Schizosaccharomyces pombe: one gene and its partner. The protein of the gene in region 1 interacts with the protein of each later gene in a pairwise test. Each region holds a gene or a part of one and is shown on either strand. Other genes may lie near its edges. The genes, in order: isp3 and tnr3.

What was found.
Region 2: the proteins of isp3 (region 1) and tnr3 interact in a two-hybrid assay, tested with the Schizosaccharomyces pombe proteins (one large-scale study listed by BioGRID).

What each region holds. Positions count from the first base shown.
Region 1 is NC_003424.3:91,467-102,080, forward strand, and holds isp3 (protein isp3), read left to right. Parts: upstream 1-4,323; 5' UTR 4,324-4,533; coding exon 4,534-5,082; 3' UTR 5,083-5,500; downstream 5,501-10,614. Other genes in the region: hhy1 (hydrolase), read right to left, coding at 1,014-2,405; pfl8 (glycoprotein), read left to right, coding at 8,545-9,702.
Region 2 is NC_003424.3:1,309,665-1,321,045, forward strand, and holds tnr3 (thiamine diphosphokinase Tnr3/ Nudix hydrolase fusion protein), read right to left. Parts: upstream 9,315-11,381; 5' UTR 9,139-9,314; coding exon 7,429-9,138; 3' UTR 7,317-7,428; downstream 1-7,316. Other genes in the region: DNA-binding transcription factor, glucose starvation sensing, Rst2, read left to right, coding at 1,316-3,019; fsv1 (SNARE Stx8), read right to left, coding at 4,057-4,800; tvp15 (COPI-coated vesicle-associated protein), read left to right, coding at 6,435-6,833; Rho GDP dissociation inhibitor Rdi1, read left to right, coding at 10,182-10,799.

The DNA of each region.
Region 1 (10,614 bases):
AAAGACCAGACGACATGCAGCTGATTTTCAAAGTTGCATATGAAGGAAGCTTGTATAATTTGACTCTTCTCTCATGGGAGGTAAAATTTTTATTATTTTTTTTTTGGGAACCGGCGTACTAATGGACATTTGATCAGATAAATCGGAGTTCTATCAACCGCAAAAAGGATATAAAGGCGAGGCTTTCCTTTTACAATTTTGATGATAGAGGTTAAATAAAAAGTTTTTATTTTCCGTATTTCATTTTCCGGTTACAAATTCGTCCTTTCGGTTGGCATGCAAAAATGAACATCCTTGTTATCGCTATAACATTTTAATGGCTGCAATTTGTCAGCACGCAGTAATTCTGTAAATATCTTTAGCAATCGCGGATTTTTTTTTTTGAAAATTAAAAATTATAAGTCAGACTAATGAGTGCAAAAAAATTTCCATTCCATCTTAACCCTATAAAGTCATATCAGAAGTGGAACAGTCAACTTGCTCAAGTGTCTTCCATTAAACCATCTTATTTGACCAAATAATATTGTTAAAGGCATTGAAAGTACCGCTATTATCTCATCTGATAGTGACCATAAAATCATGAAATGGTTAACAGTGTTGAAGTGAAACCAGAACAAAGAAAACCATGTTTCAACACGCCAGAATTAAATTAAAAGGCTCAAAAAATAAAAAAAAGGATGTTAAATAGGTAGACGCGACGATTACTGTTTAATAATGAATAGCAGACTCGGGATCATATTATACTCTTCAGTAATGTTACTTTTCATTTAAGTTAAATGATAACAGCAAAAACAATCATAAGTTTTAGGACTTGAACGTGATATTTGTTGCGCTAAATAATGAACTTTTTGAGCTTAACGAAAACTTTGAGAATTCACTTATTTATCAACTACAAAGAAAATTAACTACACAATTATTTGGTTCGTTCCATTTGTTTTCAATCAAAATTTTTATTGAGTAAAAAGCTTACACATGAAGGATATAGTTACAGTTTGTCATCCGTTGATCAAAGCTTAAATTTCTTTCCAGCGGCCTTTCACATCCACTTTGGCACGTTCTTGAAGCTTTTTTCCATGCTTTTTAGCCTTATCAATCAATTTTGGTTCATCAATCGTTAATAAAACATGATCTTCCACAATCAGTTTTCCATCAATTACTACTGTCGCAACATCAGCTCCAGTAGCAATATAAACCACAGCAGATACAAGATCTCTAAGAGGTTGCGCATAAAGCTTATTAGATAAATCTAAAGAAATGAAGTCAGCTTTTTTGCCGACCTCTAAAGAGCCCAAATCATCTCTTCCCAATGCCTTTGCACCATTTATTGTAGCCATTTCAACGATTTTCTCAGCGGGAACTATAGACGGATCACCATGTAAAGCCTTTGGAAGCAAAGACGCCATCTTCATTTCTTGCAATAGATCCATAGTGTTATTACAAGGACATCCATCACAACCAATCCCAACTATTATTGACTTCTCGAGCATTTCTTTTAGTGGGGCGATTCCACTACCTAGTTTGGAATTTGATACCGGGCAATGAGCCACAGAAGTTCCATTTCCGTGTTTCTCCAAAATTTCTAAATCTTGAGTATCGAGATGAACCATATGTGCTAAAACAGTCTTTGGTCCTAAAAGACCTAGATCTTTGCAGTATGTCATCGGAGTATGTTCCTTGCTAGCAAAAAACTCTCTGTCGGCTTTTACTTCTGCACAGTGCATCGTAATTCCAATATTATTTGCTCTGGCAATTTTAACCATTTTACGATACAACTCTTCAGAAACACCACCAGGTGTTCGTGCTCCGAACCATATCTCGACTCGGCCATTTCCTTTCCCATGGAATTTGCTATGGCTTTCAACTGCTTGGTTGAGCGAATTAGAATTTTCAATCAAACCCTCATGCATGCTAACTCCAGTTTGAGTAGCATACCTTGGTTGATCCATTACCACTTTTCCTATGCAACCCCTTATTCCCGATTCTATTACCGCTTTGACCGCACCCTCAATTCCATACCGTTGAGCAAATAGTGCCTCAACGAATGTTGTGGTCCCAGATTTTAACATTTCCGCAATGGTTAATTGCGAAGCAACGTATCCATCTTCTTGGGTGAAATTACCCTGCATCTTCCAAACAGTGTCACATAACCAAGAAATTAGAGGCAAATCGTCGGCTGCAGAACGCAAAAGTGACTGTGCTAGATGTACATGGAGAGATATGAGTCCAGGCATCACTATATGGCCTTCTAAAGATTTATGTTTTTCATTTGGATATATTGAAACTAGTCTATCCGTTTTTCCTATATCATCGATGGTATTAGAACCATCCTTGACTAGTATTGCTCCATCAATTAGTATATCACGTGTTGGATTTACCGTAATAATATTAGCGTGAGTATACAACATTTTTCGGTAAATTTTGATTAAATTTATCTGGTATATATATATTATTAGTATGTATTATCCTATTCGGTAATAATCCGCTATGTCGGATAACTTTAAATAGATAAGCGGCACCCGCAACTTAACCATCAACGACCTGTTTGGGCTGTTAGTAATAATTATTTATTCTGGATCGATTTAGCTTTATTGGTTTGGTAAGCTAATACGTAGTAGTAAATTTTTCGCCTTCAAGATTTTTACAACGCCAACGAAATAATTATAGTTCAACTATTCCTCCAATTTTGACCTACTGTATAAATATAGTGGGAAAAATTCAGTAATCACTATTGGCTTAGTTTGAGGGAATTTTAAACCACAGCTCTATTAGAATAATAGTAACATTAAATTCTTTCTTTTTTAGGGAACTTCGGTTTTCTTTGTACTTCGTGCAAATAAAAAATGCCGAATTTATAATTCTAAAACTTAGTGACAATTGAATTTTTTTTAAATGTTTCTATATTGTTAAGCAATAAACGACTTTAAGCTTTTCATTAAGCGAATGAGATTATTTTACCCAACTTATATTAATATAGGATTGATCACCACAAACGTTAAATAAAGTTGTCAGTATCACGCTTACGAATCCAACGTTTTTAAAAACACATCTAATATCATTTCGTCTCTCCTTATAGTAATAAAATTTTTAAGCGTATACGGCTATTAACCAAGTGATCCTTTCTAAAATGTTTCCATCACTTTCTGTTGAACTTCTGTTATTATTGCTCATAAGTTTTAAAGATTTTATAATATTATGGTGAAGAGCTGTTTGAATAACGAATCACCGAAATTTACTATAAAGTTGACCTCACCACTTTTGCTTTCAAATCGAATAGACGACTGAACTAGCTCGTTATAGTCTATTTTGTTATTTAGAAAAATTTTAAGGATATGCAATTGTAAAACCTAATGCTGAGTGTAATGTGGTGAAGTCAATATACAACGTTGTGATATTATTTCAGAAAAATTTAATTCAAACTAACCATATAACATCCTTAACCGAATTGTTTTTCTATCGAAATCAGCTTATAGGGCATGACTGTATTTACAAACTTTATGTTATACTAGAAAAATTATTGTTACAAGACATGGGCTATCTTAGTAACATATAAGAACCATAACCAGATAGTCACAAGATGTTCATAAAAATAATCAATTTGACATAAAAACAAAAAATCACTTTGCTAAACGTAAACACAAGGAATAAATTCATAACAATTAACAATTTTGAAAATTTTTATATCTGATTGCCTCAGAAAACGAAAATCTTTCTTCAAAAAGCCAACCCAATAATCGAATATTTTGTATATATTTGATGTATTTTATGCGATACAGTTAAAGATAGCCTACAACTTGTGTTCATGATGCGAACATTTGCCTTAAGCAAATGTTTTCAGAATCAGAGAAGACGTACTTAAAGAATTTAAAAAAGTAAACTAATTAAATGCAAACAAAACAATGATCCTTAATTCCATGTATAGCATAATAGAATTTGTGGTTGTTCGTCACAGTGTAAACAAAAAACGGCTAGTGTAGTAATCTTTACGCCCACGATTATCCCGTCGGCATCGAAACACTAACTTGACGAACAAAGGCACTAAGCAATCTAACCAATAAACCTCTAGGAATTGAATTTACATTAATGCTTTGCTTGAACGTAAACAATTGAAGCTTTGCGATTCGTGCCTTTATCAACGTATTTTTTTTCTTTTATGGGGACTTATAACTCTATTTTTAAAAATATTTTGTTTTAGCCAATCATGAAACTCCAAAAATGATTATACGTCATTTTTTTTAATAAACAAAACATGTGTTTATGCTGAAAGCATCCACTGTAAACAAAAAAAAAACTATATAAGAAAGGGGAAATTCCAACTTTTAATTCAGTTCTTACCATTTCTTTTTACTCACTTAACTAGAAATCGGTTTTTTTAAAAAAGAAAACTACAGGAGCAGCCATCAATCAAAGCATTTCTTCTTCAGAATACAGGGAAAGTCATTTCAACTTTTCTATCTTTAAAAGTATTTTTTTGAATTTTCTGTTCAAAAAAATCACACAAAAGTCTAACTTTAGTAAAACTTTTCAGCTTTAAAAATGGGTCTCGGAAATTTGTGCTCTTACAAGCAAGATGATAGCTTAGATATTTTGCAAAAGAAGGTTTTAATTGATGCCTTTAACAAAGTTACTATTGATGGAAAGCCCAATGTCCAACATCAGCAGCCAACTTACTGGTATCCTCCTCCTCCTCCTCGTCATCACAAGGAACACAAAAAATCTCACCATCATTGGGAATATAGCAGTGATGATGATAGCAGTGATGATGAGGAGTCCTGTGAGAAGAAAAAACCCAAATGCTGTGAGAAGAAGAAACCCAAATGCTGTGAGTCTGAACAGAACAACGGTTGCGGTCGCAGAAACCAACTTGCAAGGCGCTTAGCATTTCTGGGTAGCTTTGGTGATGGTGACTGCGATGGCTGTAACGAGGCTTTTACCGTTACTGGTCCCATCACATATTTCAGAACCTGCCCTGATCCACTCACAGGTATAACCCCAGCTGTAGCTGCTGCAGCTGCTACTCCGGCGGCAGCTGCTACTCCTGCTACTCCGGCGGCAGCTGCTACTCCTGCTGCTCCTGCCGCATAGAGCAAAAATGCCCTTTATGCAAGGAAATAGAGTATTGCTGTTATCCAAATTGAGATAAAGACATTATACCATGGAAAGCACCATAACTATCAAAAACTCCCTAAGCTACTCTTGAATGTTAAAGCGGTTTCGATTACTTTCGGAGCAACGTTGTTTGTCAGTAGTTACTTACAAAGTGCATCTGGCGTTTTGAAGTTGACTTTAAGGAGTCGAAAATTTGAGATTTTGGAAAAGATAATGGCAAAATCCATTTTAACGTGGAATCCAAGTCTGTATCAGACAACACACTTTTATCAAAATAACTAATTTCCCACCTTTCTTTAGTTATACTTGCGCGCTGGGTTTTTGTCTTTTAGATAGATGTAGGCTACTCGTGTTGATGTTCACGGAATAAAATTGAGGCTGCTCTTTTTTTTTTATACAGTGTACCTTTTCGTATGTTTAATTTGTTTGTCCATGATTATTTGTAAATTAAAAAATGTGGTTGAATTCGTTAGTTGGTATGAAAGCGTTAAATATAAGACTATACTAAGAAATGAGATATGCGTAAGTGGTCGCAAAACACAGTACAATAAACAAATTCTGTAGAATTAGATTCAGCAACCAACTTAATAATTAATTCAACATCCAAAGATTTTTACTATTCAAGTTTAATCAATTAATTTACCCAATCAAGCTTCCTAAGTACGATAAAATATAAAGTGCATAAATGATCGGATTGTAGTATTGCTTAGAGAAACTACTTAGAGGTTTATATGCCATTCAGTAATTGAACATATTTGATTTAACTATTCAGCGGTTAACATTATTGAACCAACCATAAAATAAAATCAGTTTTCCTTAATATGATACGTTATTCTGCAACCTTTATTCAATTAACTTCTTTCGGCTGAAAGGATACTAAAAACATCCGCAGGTCATTTCTCAAGCTATTGAGCACACCTAACTAAGCACGAAGGTTAATACGACATTATATTGAGAACTTGATATTAAGTACCAGATTCAAACTAATAATCAAATTTATTATAGCTGAAACAATTCACAATAACATTTTACCCTTTAATAATTCAGATGATTAATCTTCATTGTGTACATTTTTTAAAAAATCAATTCGTACTTTTATATGTTTAAGGAAATCTACATGAGTTGACAAACCAACAAGCAGGTTTCATATATTTCAACTACATATTTCACGATGCTGCGCATTAATGCTGATTAAACAAGTATGGAGCGTTCAAAATGCGTTTACAATTTAAAGGTTGCTACTCTATAATAATCCTAATCTTATAAGGTTGAAAAAATCGGTTAACATTATTGAACCAACCATAAAATAAAATCAGTTTTCCTTAATATGATACGTTATTCTGCAACCTTTATTCAATTAACTTCTTTCGGCTGAAAGGATACTAAAAACATCCGCAGGTCATTTCTCAAGCTATTGAGCACACCTAACTAAGCACGAAGGTTAATACGACATTATATTGAGAACTTGATATTAAGTACCAGATTCAAACTAATAATCAAATTTATTATAGCTGAAACAATTCACAATAACATTTTACCCTTTAATAATTCAGATGATTAATCTTCATTGTGTACATTTTTTAAAAAATCAATTCGTACTTTTATATGTTTAAGGAAATCTACATGAGTTGACAAACCAACAAGCAGGTTTCATATATTTCAACTACATATTTCACGATGCTGCGCATTAATGCTGATTAAACAAGTATGGAGCGTTCAAAATGCGTTTACAATTTAAAGGTTGCTACTCTATAATAATCCTAATCTTATAAGGTTGAAAAAATAAAATAAAAACATAGTACGGCAGAGGTATACAAATAATCATAAGCTTTGCTATCATCGCCTAGCTTTTAAATATTGCGATGATATACGTTCGGGACTTTATAATAAATTTATATATCGCTCATTTACTTTTGAATATTTGTCTAAACCAGGTATTTTTTGAATAGAGGCTACAGTATTTTCATTGAGAGACTTCGATATCAAAGACTTTTCGGAATGCGCCAAATTAGTTCAACAATACCACATCACGCTACAATTACGACGCAACGTTGCGAATCACTATAAGCCATATGTTAAAACACTACTTAAGATCGGCTTACAAGATAATCACGAAATACTATCCATCTATCAGTTCAGATACCCGTTGATTACAGTTTTAAAATTGATTGTAAATAGAGCTACAACTGAACCTCGTTCCTCAGTTCAGTTATGAGCTATATTAGTGATAGGTAACATTATAACCCAGTTAATACAATACCTATACTTAGTTGCTACTTATACTACCTGTGTAGTGTAATATAATAGATCACAGGCAAACTCACCCCAGTTCTACGGTCGTTTAAACAGATACTGACTGCGTAGCTGACATAACAAACCAAAACTATGGTGAGTTTTACTTGTGATCTATTATATTATACGTAGGTAACGCAAATAACAGTTGTTATAAGTATTGTTATATTGTTATCTAACACTGGTATAGCTTATAACTGAGCTGAGGAACGAGGTTCAGTTGTAGCTCTATTTACAATCAATTTTAAAACTGTAATCAACGGGTATCTGAACTGATAGATGGATAGTATTTCGTGATTATCTTGTAAGCCGATCTTAAGTAGTGTTTTAACATATGGCATATAGTAATGCGCAACGTAGTCTAGTTTTGCTGACACGTTAAACCAGATACCAAACTGTGTAGCTGACAAATAAAGAAAATGTTAAAACGGGACGCAACTCCATAAAATTCATTAAATATAATTAAGCGGCGTACTTACTACAAATAGCGTATTGTATATATCCAACAATCACAATTTTAAGCTATCATATCAATTTGTGTATTGTTTTTGCTATATAAAATCAAACACTTAAAGGATGAGAATATAGCAAACATGCTACCGAACGTATCAAAAAAAAAAAAGGAAAATAGGTTCATGAGAATGAAAAGGATTTAGTGATTCGAGCTTTCATTTCGACTTGAGCTTCGCTTGATGCCCGGTTTATTTCAAAACCAATATGAAAGACATTTTATCGTTACTTCTTTCTTCTGTTTTGTATGGAATCGAATAGATCTTTAGTTAGGCGTTTCTAATTGACCAATTAACGTTATTAATATTTTTAGATTTTCGCAGCAACAACTTAAATTTTCCGAAAGTAGCAACACTGGTTATCATTTTTGCAAACTTGGTGTACACCAATAGTTACTTTGCTGGGAAAAAACAAGGAGTATACTCTATATATAGAAAGCATCTAAATATGAAGAAGTTGAGTTACATTCATAGCCTTTGTCTTAAATTCCACATTTAAAAATTTTTTTAGTATAAAAAACCCGATTCTCCTTGTAGAACGTTCAAATCTAGACATAATCTATTCTTCTAAAACCGAACAGATTTGGAACCACGTTCTAATCAGTGCTAGATTGAATATTTTTCTAAAAAATTTACGATGAATTCGTACATTTCCTTAATATTTACACTGCTTTTTTTTACGAGCGCTGCTCGTTCAAGCAGCGTCTCGGTGGAAACTGGCAGTTGCGTTCGTTACACAACCATCTATAGCTCTGGATCATCCGAGTTTACTTCTACTATCACCCCCGAAACTCCATCCAGTTCCTCTAGCACATTTGTCCCGATTTCAACCCATACTTCAAGTGCTACGAACACCACCTCTGGCCAACTTTCTATAAGCAGCTCAAGTTCGACTTCGTCTGAGTATTCATCTTCCAGTATCCCTATCACAACTGTTAGTTCTTCTGACTCATTCATTCCTTCATCATCTCAAACTATAAGTGCTTCAAGCTCAACAACTGACAATGTCATTGTAAGCAGTTCAATAAGCTCTACTGTTTCAAGTACACCAGTTTCTACAATTTATAGTGGAACATCAGGTACAACATTCGTTTCTTCATCCACAACTTATCAAGTTATTCCAACTCAAATATGTGATGGAGTTCGTGGATTAGAATACGCGGTATACAATTATGACTTGCCTTCTGAGTCTACATTCTGTCACCCTTCGAATGGTTATACCGAGGTGAGCACTTTTAATAAGCCAGCCTATTTTGGATCTAAAGACTTAAAGCAGAGTGCGCCTCTTTTTACTGGTATATTTTCATCTCTTGATGACATTCCCACCTATTCTGCTTCCGATTATCTTCCTGCTTATCCTCCTAATCCTGAAGGGATGTCTTCCACTTCATCTTCATGCAAAACAATTGTTTATCAATTTTTCTTCAGGGTTCCTGCTACTGATAACTGGAGTTTATTCGTTAAGAACGTCGATGATGCTTTCTTCGGTTGGTTCGGAGACAAGGCAATTTCTGGATGGTCAAATGTTAACTATGATGCATACGCTCACTGGAGAATAGGTGCCTATGGTATGGGAACCTTTGATTTAGGTTATCTTGAACAGGATAGCTTTGTTCCAGTTAGATTTGTTTTGGCTAATGGAGCTTACATTGGTGGATTTGACTTTGCCTTCAATTCTTCTTCGACTGGTCCCGTTCGTACCACGTCATACTCCTACACTTCCACTTGCGATAAATCTTTCTTACCTTTCGGAAAAGGCAACGGTGGATTGGATGAAGGTACTGCAAATGTTTAAATTATTACGGCCCTTTAAGCCTCAAACGGCACTTTGAATTTTAATTTATTAATTATTTATTATTATAATAGATTGAAAGCTCTTTGACTTTTTATGCCAAAACCGCTTTCTAACACATTCTTTGTCTGACTCATCAAAGTCAACGATTATACTTAGTTCGCTATTAACTAATCCAAACACTCGTTTAAACAGCCTTCAATGTAAGGTAAAGAGGCAGACTTCTTCTATCTAATTAATAGTCATTCTTTCTTTTAATAATTTTGACAAATAGATTCAGATGCGATATAAAAAAAAGTAGTATCCATTTCAGCCGTTTGTGTAAATATCCAATTACTGAAGAATCGCTAATTTCATGTTCAAATCCATATGACTACAAAATATTATTTATGCTTACTACGTAACCCTTCACTTCTCTTGTACCACACTAACATTTATAACAAAAGAAAAGGGAAATTTGTCGAAGTTATAATACATCTCGCTATTTATAATGACACAACTTCCTACCAAAAAGCTATTAACGAATTACAAACCCAAAATAAGATTTTTAAAATATCCTTTATAATTATGATTTATATTATCTAGGATAAGCATTCATGTATTTCTAATATCCAAATAATTCTTGTAATCTAAATGTAACATATTCTTACCAAACAACGTCCGTTTTAATCTAGTTATCAGCGGTAGGAGGACGGGCGTTGGCGGAGCAACAGCCTTACCCCAGTCAACCAACTCTTGGGTGCAGTCATCGGTGTCGATGGCACACTCAATCAAAGTAGGACCCTCCTTGTTTTGAAGAGCAACCTTGATGGCGCTGGTAAGCTCTTCACCAGTCTTAGCATGAAGACCCTTAGCCTTACCGGTTTCACCGTTCAAAGACTCGCAGAAAGCAGCGAAGTCCCAGTTTTGGATACG
Region 2 (11,381 bases), 1.2 Mb from region 1:
CATGCATTAAACTGACAATCCTCCATATACATGAGTGAGATTGAAATTATTTGTTAAGAAAGAGTTTTGACGGATTCAGAAAGTTTGAGTAATTAAAAGTATCAAGGTTTTTACTAGAAGTCAGTGAAAACATTCAAAAACGATTAATCGTCGATATCCGGCTTTTCGCCACTTGACCAGTTAGTAAGCTTAGAAAGGAAAGAGAATCTTTTACACTAGAAGATTTTTACTTCTAAGTTGCAATAACTTCATTTATTCGAATTGTAAAATACGAGTTCACTGCAGAGTTTCAGATCATTGAAGATTATTGCACTAAAATTCGTTTTTAAGTGTTAAAAGCTGATTTGTTCTTTACAATTCGCATAGGATACACTTCATTTATCATTCAATTTTGGTTTTTCCTTTGTGAAATAGGAAAACCGCAAAGCGTTTGTCTGTTATTTTATATTTTTTAGTTTGGATGTATAAAATTGACATCCTTAACCAATCTATCAGACATTTAGTATATATGTTATAGGATTCGTTTTTTGTCCTTCACGTGCCTTGTTTCAGTTATTATTTGACTGTTAATTCTTTCTCCTTTCCTTACATTTCCGATTCTCCTCTTGACGTACATTGTTTCGACAATACGTTTCTTATTTCCTAGTTAGTGTCTAATTCTATTTAAAGTGTGGATGGCGTTTATCTTTTTGAAATTTATTTTCCAGGCTTTTTTTGAAATAGACTCTTCTGAAGTACATTAAGTTTTTCAAGTGTCTTTTCTTGTTTATCTGTGCTATTACTGTGTGCAGGTTCAATCGATTGTTTTTATTCTTTCTCTGTCTATTTTACCGACCTTCTTTCCTTGTTGTTCTTCGCGGTGGCTTTTTGTTTGATTACACTCTTTTTTTATCCCCTTTAAAAAAAAAAAGTTTGGCATCTCAACAGTTCTCCTCATATTTTCCTTCTTCAACTACTTTTCTCATCTCCCTGTTGTCCTTAAGAAATATTTAACATATTCTGTTGCTTTGCTATTAACGTTATTTGGTAAAATTATTTGGCAGATTATATCTTGCTTATTTTTGCCTACCTGTATTTCTCTGACAAGTCAATTTTGATTTATTTAGCTATTTCTTTTTTCTGACTTGTTGATAACTAATTTAGGATCTTGCATTTCATTTTCGAAAATTATTTTGCGGTTTTCGTTTTTAGTCTTTTTGAATCCTGATTGCAATCACTTTCAAGCTTTATTTCCCTTCATATCTTTTATTTTAACAACATATTCTTCTTTTGAAAAATAAGAAAATAATTGTTTAATTTGAAAACTTGTTTTATCATGACGCGTGAGTCTTTAGCACCGATAGCCTCGAAAGCTAATACTTTATCCGAATCAAAAGTTTCGGAAAACTTGATGTCTATTAATTCCGATTCTGGTACCTCTAATGCTAATACACCCAGCTCTGTTACTTCTAATTCAAAACCTGTGGCTTCTTCTACCGCTGCTAAAAAGGACCCTAATGCCCCACCCCAGAAAGTTAAACAATATGTTTGTGAAACATGTACACGCGCTTTTGCTCGATTGGAGCATCTTAAACGACATATCAGATCTCATACCAACGAAAAGCCTTTTACTTGTAGTGAGATTGATGGTTTACCTACAGGTTGTGGTCGACAGTTTTCGAGGCGTGATCTTCTACTTCGTCACCAACAGAAAATCCATAGGAATCCACAACCTCGAAGAAGACGTCGTTCAACAACGGCTTTACCCAATCCTTCTCTTTCAAATGTTTCGGTAAGCACAACAAATTTAGCTTCTAAACCTGTTATTTCTTTACCTCAGGCAGATTCCATTGACAAATTTCGTTATCCAAAGTTGCATGCCGCACTACAAGCGCAGCTTGCGAACAACTCAGGTTCATTTTCTGCAAGTTGGTTGCAAGCCCAACAACAAAGGCTGGTTTCTGCCGGTAATGGGAGGGAAACGGTAAATGCCTCTGCATCTGGTGCAGTAAATCCTACATCTTCTCAATGGTCAGATCAACGTCTCGGTGTGCCTTATGGACCCGACAGTCCTTTGTACTATCGTAGGGCAACCATTGCCAGCGATTTGAGGCCTTCTGTTTATCAACACCCGCAGCTTTATGACTTTAATAGACCTGAAAGCCTTTCAGGTCAATTAGACGATGAAAGTTTGGCTAGAATGCCGTATTCACCTAACGCCGTTTCACGAAATTACGCTATGAATATGACACTTCCTGAATCTATTCCTGAAGGGTACGAGATTGATAAATTGGATTGGATGAGTTTTAGTGAGTCTTTAAATCTTCCTACTTTCAATCAACCTAGTGGCCCATCTGATGTTTCTGCTTCGTTTCTTAATCTTCAGGCTATGCCTTCTCCTCATGCTTCACCAAAAGATTCTTTGATCAACAAATCAAATAGTTACTTTTTTCAGAATCCTCCTAAGAGTAATTCTGTGGATTATACTCGTCTTGATAATCTCGAACATATGCGTCAGTCTTGCATATCGCCTAGTGGCACTAATTTTTCACCGAGCTGTTATAGCCCTGAATCTTTAATGCAGCAACCATTAACGTTGAGTCCTTCTTCGATCCCTTCTGGATTGCCCACATATGCACATGTTAATTCGCCATTAGGAACAGAGCAATATCCATCTGAAGCTTATCCTCCAAAAGGCTATGTTGATATGGAAGGAAGAATATCAGAAGGCATCAAAGAAGAAGGCATTTCATTATCTGAAGAAATTACCGATAAAGATCAGGCCTTCGCTTCGATGGGATATTTTGACTCTTACAATTTTGAAGGCGTTGAGAATTCAAATTCATTGAACAACGAAGGGGATCAAATGGAGACTAATTTTCAGTCTGAGAAATTAGATAATTCCAATTCAATTCCTTTCTTTAATTTTAATTCATTCAATAACAATGGGGCAAATTGGTCTTCAGACTTTAATTATCCTGTATCCGAAACTTCCGGTTTGCTTACAGATAATAATCGGAATCAACCGCCCTCATTTTAATTTTTTTCATATCTTTATATTTTATACTATTTGTTTCTTAATGAAATGCATCTTTTAGTTTTTTTAAACAAAAATCAACTAGCTTTGATTCGGTTTTTAATTAATTTAAGGATTGATCTGAAGTTTTGAATATTTTGATTTGGGGTTCAATTGTTGATAGGAAAACGATCCTCTTTTACCGAATATTTAATTACGCTAAGATATGCAATGCTGAGAGGTTCACAACACATTAGTTAAGAGGGTTGCTTCTGATATTTTATTATCAAAAAAGGTTCAGCGTGATATGGTTAACAATAGCAACGGAGGCTTTATATTTAAGATGAAAAAAATGGCATTCAAGCACATGTTCCCTTAATTCTCAAGAAAGAATCTACTCGTTCAAACTTTTCCTTAATAATGATAATGATAACATGACTACGTATGTTTAATAATAGAAGAGAATATTTTTTAATGAGATGAAGGAATAATATAGCAAAACTTCTGAAAATAAATTGATACAGCTAATTGAAGATATTGTTGTTTATTGTTTACTGCCCTGAATCTAAAAATTTTGAAAGTCTAATAGGTTATTTATTCAAATGTCAAATAAGGAGTTATTAGCGAAACAAAGTTTGTAACAAATGGTTATTAAGCATTCACTCTGCATGCACTATATTCACTTGATTTAAGTCGTCAAAACTAGCTTTGTGAACAAGGGGGACGGCCCTTAAAAGAACACAAAAATGATTTCGATAAGAAATGCGCTAGCAGAAAAATAATTACTAAAGTAGAAAGACAGTCAATGGTTAGAAACTGGAATGTACGAAAAAGTTAATTTCTGTATTCCCTATAAAGGGAAGGTTCGTTTAGCAAAAGAAGTTGAAGATCACAAAAACATTTTCAAAATCGTAAAAAAAAAGTTCGTAAATATCACGGTTATTAAATATAAATAAAAGAACTATATAGCCTAGTTCAAAGAGGACGTGAAATAAAAGAATTAAGTGAAAGTGTAACAGAGTTACAGCAAGTACAATTGCTAAGTGATATTTATTTGCACCCTAAATGGAAGCCACAAGTAATAACAACGCACAAAGGAGCAAAATAATAAAGCATCTGGGATACTGTTTAGCCTTTCGGCTGACCTTGTTTAATCGATTTTTTGCATGATCAAACCTCCTCTCAATTCGATCAGCATCATTATTCATATTATCTAGTAAAACATTTTGTTCGGACAATTCTGTATTCATTGCATATCCCATCCGCTTTTGCCTTTGGACACTTGCTTCGATCCCTCCTAAAGATTCTTCTTGTTCGTTGAGCATTTGCTGATGCATTTGAGCCAAAACGTTTACGTTTATGGGATCAGGGTCATTGCCATCAACCGGATACATGGCCTCCATCTCAATATCAGATCCCTCACTACTCGAAGTCGTTTTTTGTAAAGAAGGAAGGGGAGTTAACTTATTATTCGTACTTGCAACTTGCGGGTTTGCAGAAAAGGCACTTGTTCCGTCAGCAGGAATTGAGGATGCACGCCGCTGCTTCTCAAACTCTTCCTCAGCAGACTCTAACCTCCTTTGCATTCTAATAAGAAATGCTTCGGATTCTCGTACTCTGTACTCTGGGATTTGTGCATTTTTCTCTAATCGCGATTGCTCCTCATTAAGTTTTTGCAATTCTTGCCGAACATCTTTCAATGAAGACTCAATTTCTTCATCGGGATTCTGTCCAAACTCTTCCAACTTCCTCCTGTCTCTTATTTTTTGTGAAACCGAGTCAATGATCAGAAGCAAATTTGACATAGTCGCTGGTTACTTTCTTGAGTAATCATGTTCATCATGCGCCTAAAAACACAAACATTAGTGAAGTTTACAGTAATACGGTGTAATGCCTTTGCTACCAATTCTAGGTTCAATTACAGTAAATTTTGTTTGCAGCAAAAAAAGAGAATCTTTTCGTATGTTTTAAATAAAAAAAAAAGTAAAAATGATTTGCTCATTAGCTGCCAGATCCATTATAGGCATCCTGTGAAATTATCGTATTATTAGAAACCTACTCGTTATTTACACAATTTTTTGAATGCTTCTTTTCGACTCTTCTGATTGTTTTCGGTATTTATCACAAATTTAGTAGTTCTTATTTCACATCTATTAAAAGGTAATCAAGCAAGGTGTAAGGAAAACTTTTTAATTATTGAAAGTTGGTTTGCGTAGTTTCAAAATTAATCAGATAAATTTATACAGCAAGCCCAGTATAAAAAGGGGCCTAACCAGGATTCGAACCAGGGATCACCTCTAAACTCAGCATACAAGTGGGGATTACCCGAAAGAGGTATGTTAACCACTACACTATTAGGCCTAGGTTTCTCATTACAAAATATTAATATAATATATATATAAAATAATTGCGACATAATAAATGTTAAGTACCTCTTTGCTCTGAAAACTAAAATACCAATAATGACGCTTTTCTTTTCATTAGAAGAGAATGTTTATTAAAGAAATATCTTAAAGAAAAATACTACTTAAATATTTATTTAGGAGTTAGTACACTAATTCCAGAGTATTAAATCCAAGTGTAACAAGGTAGGAGTAACAAATAGTTGTTTAATTACAGACAATTAAGTACAGTAGAAAATTACTCAAATATATACAAGGCTTTGGGCCGTTTAAAACGAATCATGCTGATATCTATATTCGGCTAATCGACTTCTTGCTTTATTCTCAGTTTAAAATGGAGTTTTTTTTTATAGCGTTACGAATTAGAAATAGATGTAGCCGTCTATCAAAGTTGACATTGCACGTGAAATTATCATTATAAACATAATCAAATGAATGGCAAAGCGATCAAAATAAGAAGGAATTTTACTACGTTATAAAACATTCGGCTTTTTATTTTACTTTATTCTTTTTTATTCAGGTGCATCTGATAATAATCGCGTGAAACTTGAGTGCAAAAAATTTTACAGCCCTGTAGATCCCGAGTGAGAGTAGATCACATATAGCTAAAGGAGCTCGTATGAAACTAAGATACAAATACATTTGTTTACGAACGTTTGACAAATATATAAATTGACCCACAGACCTTAAAATTGTCAACAACAGTTGTCTCAAAAAAAAGCCGGGTCGAAAGTACATTATTTACTAAATGATAGTGTTTTTAACTTCAAAAACAGTACAAAGAATGCTATAGAAAACAAAATGCATTTTCGATGAATTGAATTATTCATTTTCTGTAAACAACAAAAAGTTGGTTGAGAATTATGGAATTCGTTATTTTTATTTACCGTATTTCAATAGTTCGTAAATATGCATGACCGCATCGGTAAGCATAGGCAGGCTTAGTAACTTGCATTTCTCTTTGTCTTTAAGCAAACATCGACTAAAATACATATTGCTTGAAAAATTTAATATTGGTTGCATACACTTAATTCACAATGGATAAAACAAAAATGTTTAGTGCCATTAATTTGGGCGTAGGTGGTATCTTCGTTTTAAGCGGATTTATCAAGTTATTTTCATTTAGCTTCGTAAACGCTTTACTTGCATTGTTCATCATCGTTTTCGGTTTGGGAACTATTGGTTTAGAAAAGGAAATTCCTCCTATTGCTATTAAATATGGATCGTTCATGTTCTCATTCTTAGGAAGGGGCTTCTTCTACGCTTTCATGGGTACTTTACTCTTTTCTTACTCCGGGTTTACTTCTTTCCTAGGCTTTTTAGTTCTTCTTGCAGGTATCGCCTACTGTGGTGCAAACTACGTAGCAGGATTGCAAGACTACGCTCCCAGAAGCATGCGTGATAATGATTGGGATGATAACGTTGATGAAGTGTAGACTTTTTTTTATTTCTAACTATATTATTTGATTCGGTTCTTGTTCCTACCCCCCTCTTTTCCCGATGTCCTCCTACATATGATTTATTCTGGATACATTCGTTTTCTTCAGGGTAGGTGTTCTAAAAGACAGTCACTTTAGCAGTCATCCTCAGAGTAGTTAATGAGTATAAATATGTATACGATCTCTTAACTATGTATAATTTTTGTATATCAACATTAGCGTAGTAGCTATGGTATTTGTGATGGGTTTTAGGGTTATACATTCAAATACCTTTAATTGTCCAGCTTGGATTCTGAACTGTCGGGTGTATCGAGGAGGATAAAAATGACATGTCAAGCTCAACAATATGAAAAATTATGATTTTTTTCTATTTCTTCACTTTCTGAGATGTATCTTGCAGTTCAAAATGTTAGTTGGCTTTACTAAAATTCTATTTTATTTCATTACTCTAATCAATTATCTTTTTGCTTTATGACCATTACCGCTTATACTCTATAGATGTTTTATATTTTTTATATCTAAATAAATATCTTAATTTTTTTGAGCTGTTGGGAATAATGAATATTCTTTCTGAGTTTCTTACTTACAGGTCTTATAGACGTGTTTCCATTGTCCATACTATAAAATTGTTGACCTCTATAGTCACCGTTGCTTTTGTCACTACATTGCAAGAGCTGACGAGTCCTCCAAATTGACAAATGCGATCCTCAATATTCCACTCAAGGCCGCTGGTTTTTTTAACATACACACTCTGTCCTACTGGCAGAAGACCGCAATGTAAACCAATGTTGTCGTGACAATCAACATGATTTATTCCGGGTTGAAGCAAAGTTGATACATTCAATTCAGTTAATAGAAATACTTCATTCTTTTCAGAAATCGAGGCGGCCCAGAATAGATGGTTTAAATTACCAATGGCATGATCAACTCTTCCACCCATGCCACATAATACAAAAATAGTATCAATCCCATGTTCTTTAATTATTTTATGGCATTTCATAAAGTCAGTGGTGTTTTGGCATGGGTCGAATACAATGTTGACTCCCATTTCTTTATAATAAGCTTTAGTTTCATCTGTTAACGAATCAAAGTCACCAACGACATAATCCGGTTTGAGCGAAGAATCGTAATTTCTCAATTGGTTAGCACCACCGTCTGCGCAGACTCGGATACTAGCTCTTTTCCATAAAGTACGAAATCTATCATCCGGTATATCTATGGGTTGATTTAATAGTAATACCGCAAACTTTTGATCAGTATCATAGTCACGTAACCAAGCCTTACATGGAGCTAGCTGATGAGTGGCTTTTTGGGGTTTTGCAGGAACACACGTTTCAGCTTTCTTTGAAGTATCTTCAAAAGAATCCCCTCTTTCATATTTTCCAACAGGAACAGGCAACGGTCTATGTATCCGTTCTAAAGTTTGGAGATACTGAGGATGCTGTGGAGTAATGATACCATGACGGATTAAAAAGTCTAAAAGAACCAGAGCACAATTTGGCTTAAAACTTTTTAATTCAAGTTCATGAAGTACTTGATTCAATGGTAATAAACTGAAACCAGCGACTTCTCCATCATTAATTCTTGGGATAACAAGATCATCAACAGGTAAATCGAATACATATTGTAACTCGGGCTGAATCCAATGCCTTTTCTCCATTTTGATGTAGGAGACAGTGCCACAAGGAATAAGATTCATAGAAGAAACGTCCAAATTAGCTTCTTCAGAAAATTCCTTTATCATAGTGCCTATGACTGAATCACCATGAGCAATTCCGCCGGCAACGCTATTATCTAAATAATTGGGCCACGTTTGTTTAGTCGGTGATCTTCGTGGTACCCAAATACGAAGAGGATGTTCTTTAGTTGCTGGAATATACATGGTACAATGCACACCAGTGCTCAAAAAACCGAATAACCAAAATCCGCCCCGTTCAACGGCCAATACAGGCTTTTTAGATTTTCCATAAACAGTATATAATTCATTCCTCCATTGATCAGCAATTCCAAATGTATTGTTATGGCGCCAATGCTCCAGTACCTTAGCTAAGATGTCAGTTCTTTTTTCAAAAGTAGATGCGTTTATTTCAATATACTCTCCTGGAACATAAACCCAATTGAATTTGAAATTATCCGCCTTTATGAGGATTTCTAGTACCAAAGGGGTAACATATCCAATGGCAGCGCCATTTGCACGGAAGGGAATTGTTCCAGGAACAAATTCCCCATTAAAAGAATCGCATTCATCTAAAAGCTCTTCGGCATTTAATTGTTTAGCAGAGGTGATAGACGACATTGCCATTACCTTGCCCAAATTTTCCTCTCAAATGGATAGTGTTCTAAAATAAAACAGGAATAAAAAAGGCTAGTGTATTTATGCGAAGGAGACACTTATGGTTCAATTCAACATAAATAGAATAATATATAAAACACCCTATACTAGCAAATGGTAAAAGCTCAAGGAAACTGGTTCCTGGTAGTAGAAATCGGGTAGTTGACTAAAACCTTATCGTATAACGAAATGCTAATCTATTAAACCCCTTTCAAAATGATCTTTAAAAACAAAAAAGAAGTTGATATTAAACAAACAGTACCTTAATCAAGGTAATCTAGTAATTGTCTTTCAAGAGTGTGGTCTACGAGGAAAATTACAATGGGAGCAGAACTCCGTGCCAGGAATGTCTTGGTATTAAAAATAATAGCACACAGATTGGCTTACTAATTTTCACTTTAACACCAACCGCCGTTTTTGTAATTAATTAGGGTTTGGTATAGTTAAGCGTATCTTTCACATGATTTTTATTTTCAGTGGACTTCCTTCGTAAGTTTTTTAATAATAATTCCTGAAGTGATTGATAATTTTTCCGCTAAACGTATCAAATCTGGTTGTATAATAGTTATCGACTACAGCTATAACTTGCTGCTCAAACAATTTCATGTAAAGAACATCTGCCTACAGAAAAGCTAGCATAGAAAGTTCCTTCTTTTTTACGTCTCATAAGACGTCAATGCTTGGGATTACTCCAACATATTTACATGTATAAAAGCATGGATAATGACACTAAAAAAAAAATCGAAGGGAATAGAAAGAAAAAAAAAATCTTATACTTTTCTCACGCTTTTCTGCATCTCCGTTATATTTAAAATAATCCAAGTCACCGAAATGTTAACATAGTAGTACATCTGGTTATATTGTTGAGATAGCAATATGCTATGTTCCCTTTGCCAATTTCAACTCTAGAACAGTACATTAACAAAACAACGAATCTGAACTTTTTTTATAAAAACAAATTGTCCTTGGTTTAGCTACTGGCAGATAATTAAATTCTATTGCGTTGTTTTAAAATGAGTGTTAACAATGAAGTATCCGCTGATCAACATAACCCTGAACTAGAGGATGATACATTTGAGCATGGACCTCCGGTTTCTCTGGGAGAAAAGAAATCACTTAATGAATATATGAAGATGGATGCCGAAGATGAATCATTGCAGAAATGGAAAGCATCTCTGGGTATCACGGGAACAGGTTATTCACCCTCGAATGATCGTAGAACAGTTGTTATTTTAAAGCTGAGTTTACTTGTTGACGGCCGTGACCCAGTTGATGTTAACATGGAAGATGCAGCAAGTGTCGAACAAATCCGCAAGAAAGGGTTCACTATTAAGGAAGGAAGCGAGTTTAAGATTGGTGTTAAATTTCGTGTACAACACGAAGTAATTTCAGGCTTAAGATATGTCCAAACTGTTCGCAGACGTGGCTTTGTTGTTGACAAAACATCTACCATGATTGGCTCCTATGGACCTTCTGAAACACCTTATGATTTTACCTCTGAACCAGATGAGGCACCTACAGGTATGCTGGCTCGCGGACATTATGAAGCCAATGGAAAGTTTGTTGATGATGATAAAGTGGTCCATCATGAATTTGTTTGGGCTTTTGACGTTGCAAAAAGCTGGAAGTAGTCATTATTTATGCCAGCCTTATTTTTTAAAATCGTAAATTTCAAATCTACTTGGTTATTCAAAATTCTCGGTATTCAGTACTATAAAGAAATTTATAGTGATGTTTTGTTACAAAGCAAACATTTTCCTTTTTCTTACCAATTTCTTTCACATATCGGTGTCTGGACTACAATTGAATATGGTAATGACGATTTCTTACCACCTTCTTCAGTGAAACTTTACTTCACCCAAATATCTCGGATTGTTTGGAGATTGCCTTTTGTTGTGCAAATTACTTTTATAGCTTACATATGATCTTCACATATTCCCCTTTAGCAATCTACGTTGTTTCTTTTAAATCTCGTTCCAAAGCTTACAAATGCGATATTTTGGAAGGATATATACATCCGACTATATTCTTTTCACTGAAATTATGAGTTTTGAGATTTTGATTAAATTTTTCCAAGTATCTTATACTTTTCCACTTTTCCTTGTTGTCACCAAAGAAGTACATAGAAAACAATACAAATAGCTATTAACTAGCCTGATTAGTCCCTTTGATGGGAATTACTAGAATACTATTGTAACGGTAATAACTCATTC